Danio rerio: one gene and its partner. The protein of the gene in region 2 purifies or fractionates together with the protein of the main gene of each other region. This does not show direct contact. Links are inferred from orthologs where the notes say so. Each region holds a gene or a part of one and is shown on either strand. Other genes may lie near its edges. The genes, in order: chd3 and bcl11aa.

Evidence for each region.
Region 1: the proteins of bcl11aa (region 2) and chd3 purify together in Homo sapiens (affinity purification with mass spectrometry; 3 studies listed by BioGRID). This does not show direct contact. The link is inferred for Danio rerio from reciprocal best matches to the Homo sapiens genes BCL11A and CHD3.

What each region holds. Positions count from the first base shown.
Region 1 is NC_133182.1:20,745,792-20,749,618, forward strand, and holds part of chd3 (chromodomain-helicase-DNA-binding protein 3), read right to left. Parts: intron 1,533-3,827; coding exon 1,390-1,532; intron 1-1,389.
Region 2 is NC_133188.1:29,074,355-29,078,181, reverse strand, and holds part of bcl11aa (BCL11 transcription factor A a), read right to left. Parts: intron 3,264-3,827; coding exon 2,928-3,263; intron 1-2,927. UniProt on the Homo sapiens protein: Transcription factor. Associated with the BAF SWI/SNF chromatin remodeling complex. Binds to the 5'-TGACCA-3' sequence motif in regulatory regions of target genes, including a distal promoter of the HBG1 hemoglobin subunit gamma-1 gene.

The DNA of each region.
Region 1 (3,827 bases), on a different chromosome or scaffold from region 2:
AAATTTTCCAAGCCTATCTGTGTTTTAACCAATCAGGTTAGAACACCTATATGTATGACGCAGTTAATGACGTTATGTGAGAGTATAATTGTTATTGATTGGTGATTGTAAGCAGAGCGGCCTAGGAACTCATTGGGAGTGTTGAAGCTGGCTTCTTCGGATGAAACTGCAAACTATCTTCAGTAAACTTGATTTATTTATTTAAATCTCTGACTCTGGCTCTTCTTCATCTACCAGACTGGTCATTCTTTGGGTTAAACTGTATACTATCCCTACACTTGGGTCATTACTACTAGCTGCTGAAGGCGAATCAGTGAGACTCAGTTGTTTTTGTGGAGGACGAATTACAAATTTGTCAATTATTTTGGTCAGCCAGGGGATAAAATGAACTGCTGAAAAAATTTTAAAAATATGACACGACTCCCCACAGAGCTAGCTGAGGCCCCCTTGTGGGCCTGGACTCCTCTGTTGGGAACCGCTGGCATATTGGACAGCTTTTTTAAATTGATGACTGAACCCACAAAGTGAATCAGACCAAGCAAAAGGGGCAAGTTCACAAGAAAAAGCCTTAGAGTAGGAGCTGAAAATTTCACTCCAAAACTCAAAAAGTTTTGGGCATGACCAAAAAAGATTCACATTTGTTACATTTAGAAGAGATGGAGTGGTAGAATTAGTTAAGCTTAACCCAAGAATAATGAAGCCAATGTACTACTTTATATTTGATAAGGTAGAGTCTTGAGTTAATAGAACAGGTAAAGATTTCAGATGCATAAACCTCTAAATGCCGTCAGAATTGTTCTCTTAAAATGTGCATTTTTTTCAGCCTCCTATGTTTATGTTCAGTTTTTTTACTTGAAAATCAATGAAAATAACTTATTCATCACTACAAAAGTAAAATTACTGAGCCTACATATAGGAGTCTGAGAAAATTTTAATTCTAGAAGAAAATATCAAATGGCTTTTAGAGGTTTTAGCATGTAAACTCTTCATGCTTCATCTATTTATATACCTTGATAGACTTTATCCAGTTCTAATTTGAATGCCTGAATCTTCCAAGAATCTTGAGTTAGAAATGTCGAACTGATCAGTAAAAACTTCTATAATGGGTAATTGAATTTGTTTGGGTTTTTACCAAAATCTGGTCAGTTGCTCCTTTAGTAATATTATTACCAGGAAAAAACATGACTTGTTCAATACTAATTTTCCCCGCTGTATTTACAGATAATACAAATGAGTATTTGCAGATAATTAGGGTTAATTAATGAGCATGCCATTTCATCTGTAGTTCGATAAAAATAAATTTGGTGGATTGTGAATTATTAATTAAATCAAAGTTTAATAAAAGCCCCAGTTAAATATCAAGACAGAAGAACAATATAAGCCACATACAATTTTTTTCCGCTTGCGTGCTTTGGCGATCTTTCCCTCTTTCTCCTTGTCTTTCTTCTTCGTCTCTTTCTTTTTCTTAGGCCCTCGTTTCTTTTTCCCCAGGTTGTCCCTGTCCGATGCCTCGCCAATGTCGTCTCCATCATCTGAAAGAGAGAGATGCAGGGAAATGAGCGAACACGGGAGAACTGATGAAACTAGAGTGACCATGATTCTCAGCGAGCCCTCCGAGGTATCCTTCAAATCATTTCCCACTTCAATTATTGAACAACACGAGCGGCGCAGAGACCGAGACTGTCGCGCAGGAAATATAAGCCATTCCACTTCTGACTCCTAACTAAGCTGTAGGACTTAATGAATTAATCTCGCAAACATGATTATCTACGTGACCTAATTATGACAACCGGCTCTCATGGAAAGCTATTTACGGAGAGAATTTTAAGACGATGATAAATATTGTATGCAGCTCTCCATATGACGAGCATTTCAAGTCATGGTGAGAGCAGAAGGAATTACTTCAAGTCAAATATTTAGGATTAAAATTAAGTGACTCACATTTCTTCCTTTAAACGTAAATCTGTCAGATGAGCTCGATGGGTTTTTATATGGGTATATATTCAAAATAGGGCAGAATTTAAGGCCAAATTCTTAGCCCTTGTGTGAAATTGGATTCTTTTTTGGATATTTTCCAAGTGCTGTTTAACAGAGAGAAGGTTTTTAACACATTTTTAAAATGAACATAAGTTCATTTATTTTCCTTCGGCTTAGTCCCTTCATTCATCAGGGGTCGCCACAGCGGAATGAACCGGCAACTTATCCAGCATGTGTTTTACACAGTGAATGCCCTTCCAGGTGCCACCCAATACTGGGAAACATCCGTACACACTTACATTTACACACATACACTACGGCCAATTTAGTTTATTTAATTTACCAATAACTAGGTCCACATGGAATCGGCACGCACAGAAATTTTTAGCCCATCATTGAGTCTATGTATTTACTTGTGTAAATGTGTGCACATTTATATTTATCCAGTTTTTTAATTAATTTCACAAATATAATTGTGATACAATAAAAGTATTATTACATTTTGATATGATTTATTTAGAATACAGTTTAATATTTTCTGTCATTTAGTAGATATATAATATGGGAGACTTGCTTTGTTTACCAAATAAGTGGATCAAATTGGATTTGCATTGTAAACAATAAACAAAAATTAGTAAATGCTAACTGACCCAGTCTGGACTCGAACCAGCCCCTTAACATAAGCTGTCTTGACTAATTTCTTATGTTTTTGCCATGATGACAGTACATATTTTACAGGTTATTTAGCAAAACACTACTATTCAGCTTAATGTGCTGTTTAAAGGCTTAACTGGGTTAATTAGGCCAGTTAGGGTAATTAGGCAAGTCATTGGACGACAGTGTTTGTTCTGTAGCCAATTAAAAATTATATTTCGTAAGAGGACTAATAATATTGACCTAATTGTTTTTTAAAAACATGTAAAAACTGATTCTATTGCAGCCAGACTGAAAGAAATAAGATTTTCTGCTGAAGAAAATATGAAAATAAACATCACTTAGGAACGATGTGAAAAGCACCCAGAGAAAACCCACACAAATGCAGGGAGAACATGCAAACTCCACACATAAACACCAACTGACCCAGCTGAGGCTCGAACCAGCGACCTTCATGCTGTGAGGCGACAGCACTACCTACTGCACCACCATGTCGCCTGCTGTATAGCTAAATTATTCATTAATTCATTTTCTTTTCGGCTTAGTCCCTTTATTAATAAGGGGTCGCCAGAGCAGAATGAACCGCCAACTTATCCAGCATATGTTTTTACGCAGCGGATGCCCTTCCACCTGCAACTCATCTCCGGGAAACATCCATACACACTCATACACTACGGACAATTTAGCCTATCCAATTCACCTGTACCGCATATCTTTGGACTGTGGGGGAAACTGGAGCACCCGGAGGAAACCCACGCAGGGAGAGCATGCAAACTCCACACAGAAACGTCAACTGACCCAGCCGAGGCTCAAACCAGTGACCTTCTTGCTGTGAAGCAACAGCACTACCTACTGCCCCACCATGTCACCTGAGGTGTAGCTGAATAAGGTAAACAAAAATTGTCCATGGTATATGAGTGTATAAGTGAATGTGCAAGTTGTTTCCTATTACTGGATTGCAACTGGAAGGGCATTCACCGCGTAAAACACATGATGGAATATAGCAGTTGGTTCATTCCGCTGTGGCATCCCTTTGATAAACAAGGAACTAAGATGAAGGAAAATTAATAATTATATGTGTGTTATAACAGGTTTGACATAGACATCATCTTTCAGAGGGGCAAAGTGGAATTTGATGGTATAAATGTTCTGAACTGCTAAAGTTATTCATCAGTACTATCATCATATCGACATAA
Region 2 (3,827 bases):
TGCCACTTTCTGTGCTCACACAGCAAGTCCATTCCTCTCTGGCAGGTACTGTTTTTCCTCACAGTGAGCTGCTCTATATGGAAATGGAGTTGTTACATCACACATACCAATTTCCTTATTTGGTTTTCTGAACTGCAGCCTAATAATGCCTTCTAAAACATTTAAAATTCAAATAAAATTAATTAATTAATTAATATACACTACCGGTCAAAAGATTGGGGTCAGTTTTTATTATTATTATTATTATTATTATTATTATTATTATTATTATTATTATTATTATCATTAATAATAATAATAATAATAATAATAATAAATTTTATTTAATCATTAAAATGAAATTATTCTATTAATCAAGGTGACTTTTATTAAACGTAAAAAAATAAAGTTCAATACTTATTTATTAAATATTTATTTATTTATTTATTTATTTATCATTTTTCTTATTTAATTATTTTTTTTTTTTTATTTATTACTAGTTTCAAATGAAACTTTTACTCCAATCATTATTGCTTCTATTACTATTACCATTAATAATAATAATAATAATAATAATAATAATAATAATAATAATAATAATAACAATAATAATTAATATTAGAGTGATTTCTGAAGGCTCAAGTGACTCAAGACTGGAGTAAAGCTGAAGATAACAATTCATCATTAAAATCACTGCAATAAAATAATAAATTATAAACTACTTTTAAACAGTTATTTTATAGTGCAATAACATTTCACAATTTTACATTTTCTATTGTATTTTTGACTAAATAGATGAAGCCTTGCTGAGCAGGAGAAGCTTATTTTCAAACATTTAAAAGTTCTACTGACCCCAAACTTTTTAATGTAAATGATATCTTAAAATGTATAATAAAATGCTGTGTAAAAAATAACACATATAACACATATAAACTGAATTTGAAACATTTTCCATTCAAAAAGAAATTAAATTAATAAAAAACAGGTAGAACAAACTTTAAAAAAGTTTGCCAGCTTTTTCTTAAAAGTGTTGAACTGCCACCTTTCCCTCACTCTTTCAAATGCAGTTTTGTCACATTCAAGTCCACCTCTAACCCAGGTACAAACACACTCACGCACTCTCAAAGTGTTCTAGTTTACATATTCATGGTAAGCTGCAGTCATAACTAACCTTGAATATGTTATGTCTGAAATCGTCTATAATATGGCTAATTAATATCTCTTCCCTGTCTGACCTGACACGGCAGCAGATTCAGTAACATGCTGAGAAGCTGTTATGGTCCTACCCACAAAATTGTTTTAAAAAAATAATAATAACAAGCACACATAATACCAGTGACCCAACGCTATCAGCTGAACCCTGATACATTATGATGTAAATGAGTTTAATAACCCAGTTTAGCGGCTGACAGAAACAAGAGACGTGCGCGATAGCCGGCTCGCACAAAGGTTGTATAATTTGTGCTGAAACTGCATCAACATGCTTAAAACAAAGAGGGCAAGCAGACGCAAATGACCCCGTTCAGCCTCCATATCTGATCAAATTTAGTTCCACTGTACGTTTAATACATGAACACAGACTAGGAGGATTCGAAATATGTGAGAGGGAACTGTTGGAAAACAACTTGATACTTGAACTGAGCCGGCGATAATTAGCCTGGAGCAAAGGGTCAAGTCCAAATGACTGTTGATGGGGCTAACCGGACCCAGACGCTTCCTGGAACCTGATCTTTGAGGCAGACCAGAGAATGGCCAAACGTAAAGCCAGGCCAGAAAAACAGACTGGAAAGACTCACTCTCACATTTTCTGCACTTAAAAAAAAAACAGCCACTCTAAATCGCCTCACCAGCCCAAGACACACTCATGGACGCATAATAGCACAGTGACAACTTAAAGCAGTTCAATTCACTTAACGCTCAGCTTAAGGGAGATTAGACTTATGCTACAACCAAATCCTGTTTTCTTTATTTTAAGTTGAAAATAAGGGACTTCCTTCTTTTATGACTGTATTTTCCCTGTTTTATATAGTGCAGAAAGTCAACCGCTAATTAAAACGCACATCCACAAAACTAAAACAAATAATTAGCGTCGTATTATTGTTCCCTGACAAACCAAAATAACCAAACGGCCTTCCATTTCCTTTGCTTTTTTCGACAGAAAGTGAAAATGTGCAGGCGTGCATTTGTACGGATAAGATGTGGCTGTGCAAGAACCCACAACGAAATCAAGATACATCTGTCGAGACCACATGAGAGAGGCTGTGCAGCTCAGAAAGGCATTTCCCATGAGCCTGTGGACACACACCGAGGAGGATGGCCTCTCTTGTCACAGCAAGGACTCCTCGAACCGCCCCTCCAGTGCCAAAATTTCCCCCCTCTCAATCCTTCTATTTTTCACCCCGTAGAGACGAGCAGCCTGCTGTGTCGTAAAGAACACACCCTTTGCGCTGCAACTTTTAAGGCAAAGTCTACCACTTTAGGCCTCATTTGATAAATGTGGCAAGCGAACGACAAGTTACCAGAGAAAAAGGACTGAGAAGTGCAAATGTGCTAAACCGAAGCGTACAGCCAGTGGTGGCAATGTGTGATCTACGGTTCGAATCTGAGCTTAATTATCCAAATCCCAACTCAAGGAGATTCTTGCTTCCAAGCAGCGCTGATCTTGAGATAATAAATCAGATTTCAAATGTTTGTTGCTCTATGAAGTCATGCCATTCCTCTTTTGGTCTTCGTTATGGCTTCTCACTCTGAGGTTTGACAGAAAAAACCCCCTTCCCCTTCCTATGCCACAGCTCTTAAATATTCAGCACTCTTCATACGTCTCCAAGACGCCCCATGGAGAAAGGACATGTGTCTACGATATGTGGCCCACACAACAACTCTGCTTCACCACAAACAGATACACACAGGCTATAATATGAAAGAGAAATCACGTTGGGTGAGGTTACCTGTAATGTTTTCCTGTTTGGGACAGATTCCTCGAGAAGACGTCGATAAGCAGTCATCGTCCTCCGGCGTGACCTGGACGCCCACTTCCACCGGGTTGGAGGCTCTCCTCAGCTCACCGTGCGAGGGCGAGGGGGGCTTATCCACTGCTTTGTCCATGCACAAAGTGCCATTGCACTGCTTCCTTTTGTGCTCAATGAAAATAAGGATGTCTCCCAAAGGGAAGTTCATCTGACACTGGCCACAGGTGAGCAGGTCCTGGTCTCCCTCTGGAGCTACCTGTACCAGCCCGCGCTGTTCCTGCCTCTCCTCCGAGACCACGGCTGACAGGGGCTCGGCTGCACGCAGGAAGAATCCATATGCGACACAGAGGGAATGAAAAGCAGAGAGAATATTAGAGACTGGGTGTAGTAATGAACGCAGACAAGATGAGGGAGCACAAAAAATATTTTACAAATCAAACTTCAGTTTTTAATTTCAGAATCATAAAGGTGATTACCTCAGAAATTGTAAAAAAAAAATAATAATAATAATTTAAGCATAAAATAATTTACAAAATAAACATTTTGTAAAAACAAAACTTCACAATCATAAAAATATGAATCCTTAAAAGTTCATGACATCTTGATTCATGATAATATAACACTAAAATGAACATAAGTTATATCTGTTTTGGTTTTTAAAACTACATCTCAGACTGACTGTTTCACTCAACCACACACACACACACACACACACATCTGGATTATGACTGCATGTACAACACGTGTAGATATCCAGCAAAACCAAAACAGTCACAGCAGCATCAATACATGCTTCACACTTGGAGTAAAAGTACTGATACCTTTTTCCATTCTCAATAAAGTTAGCTATACAGTCCACACACAGACACACACACACAC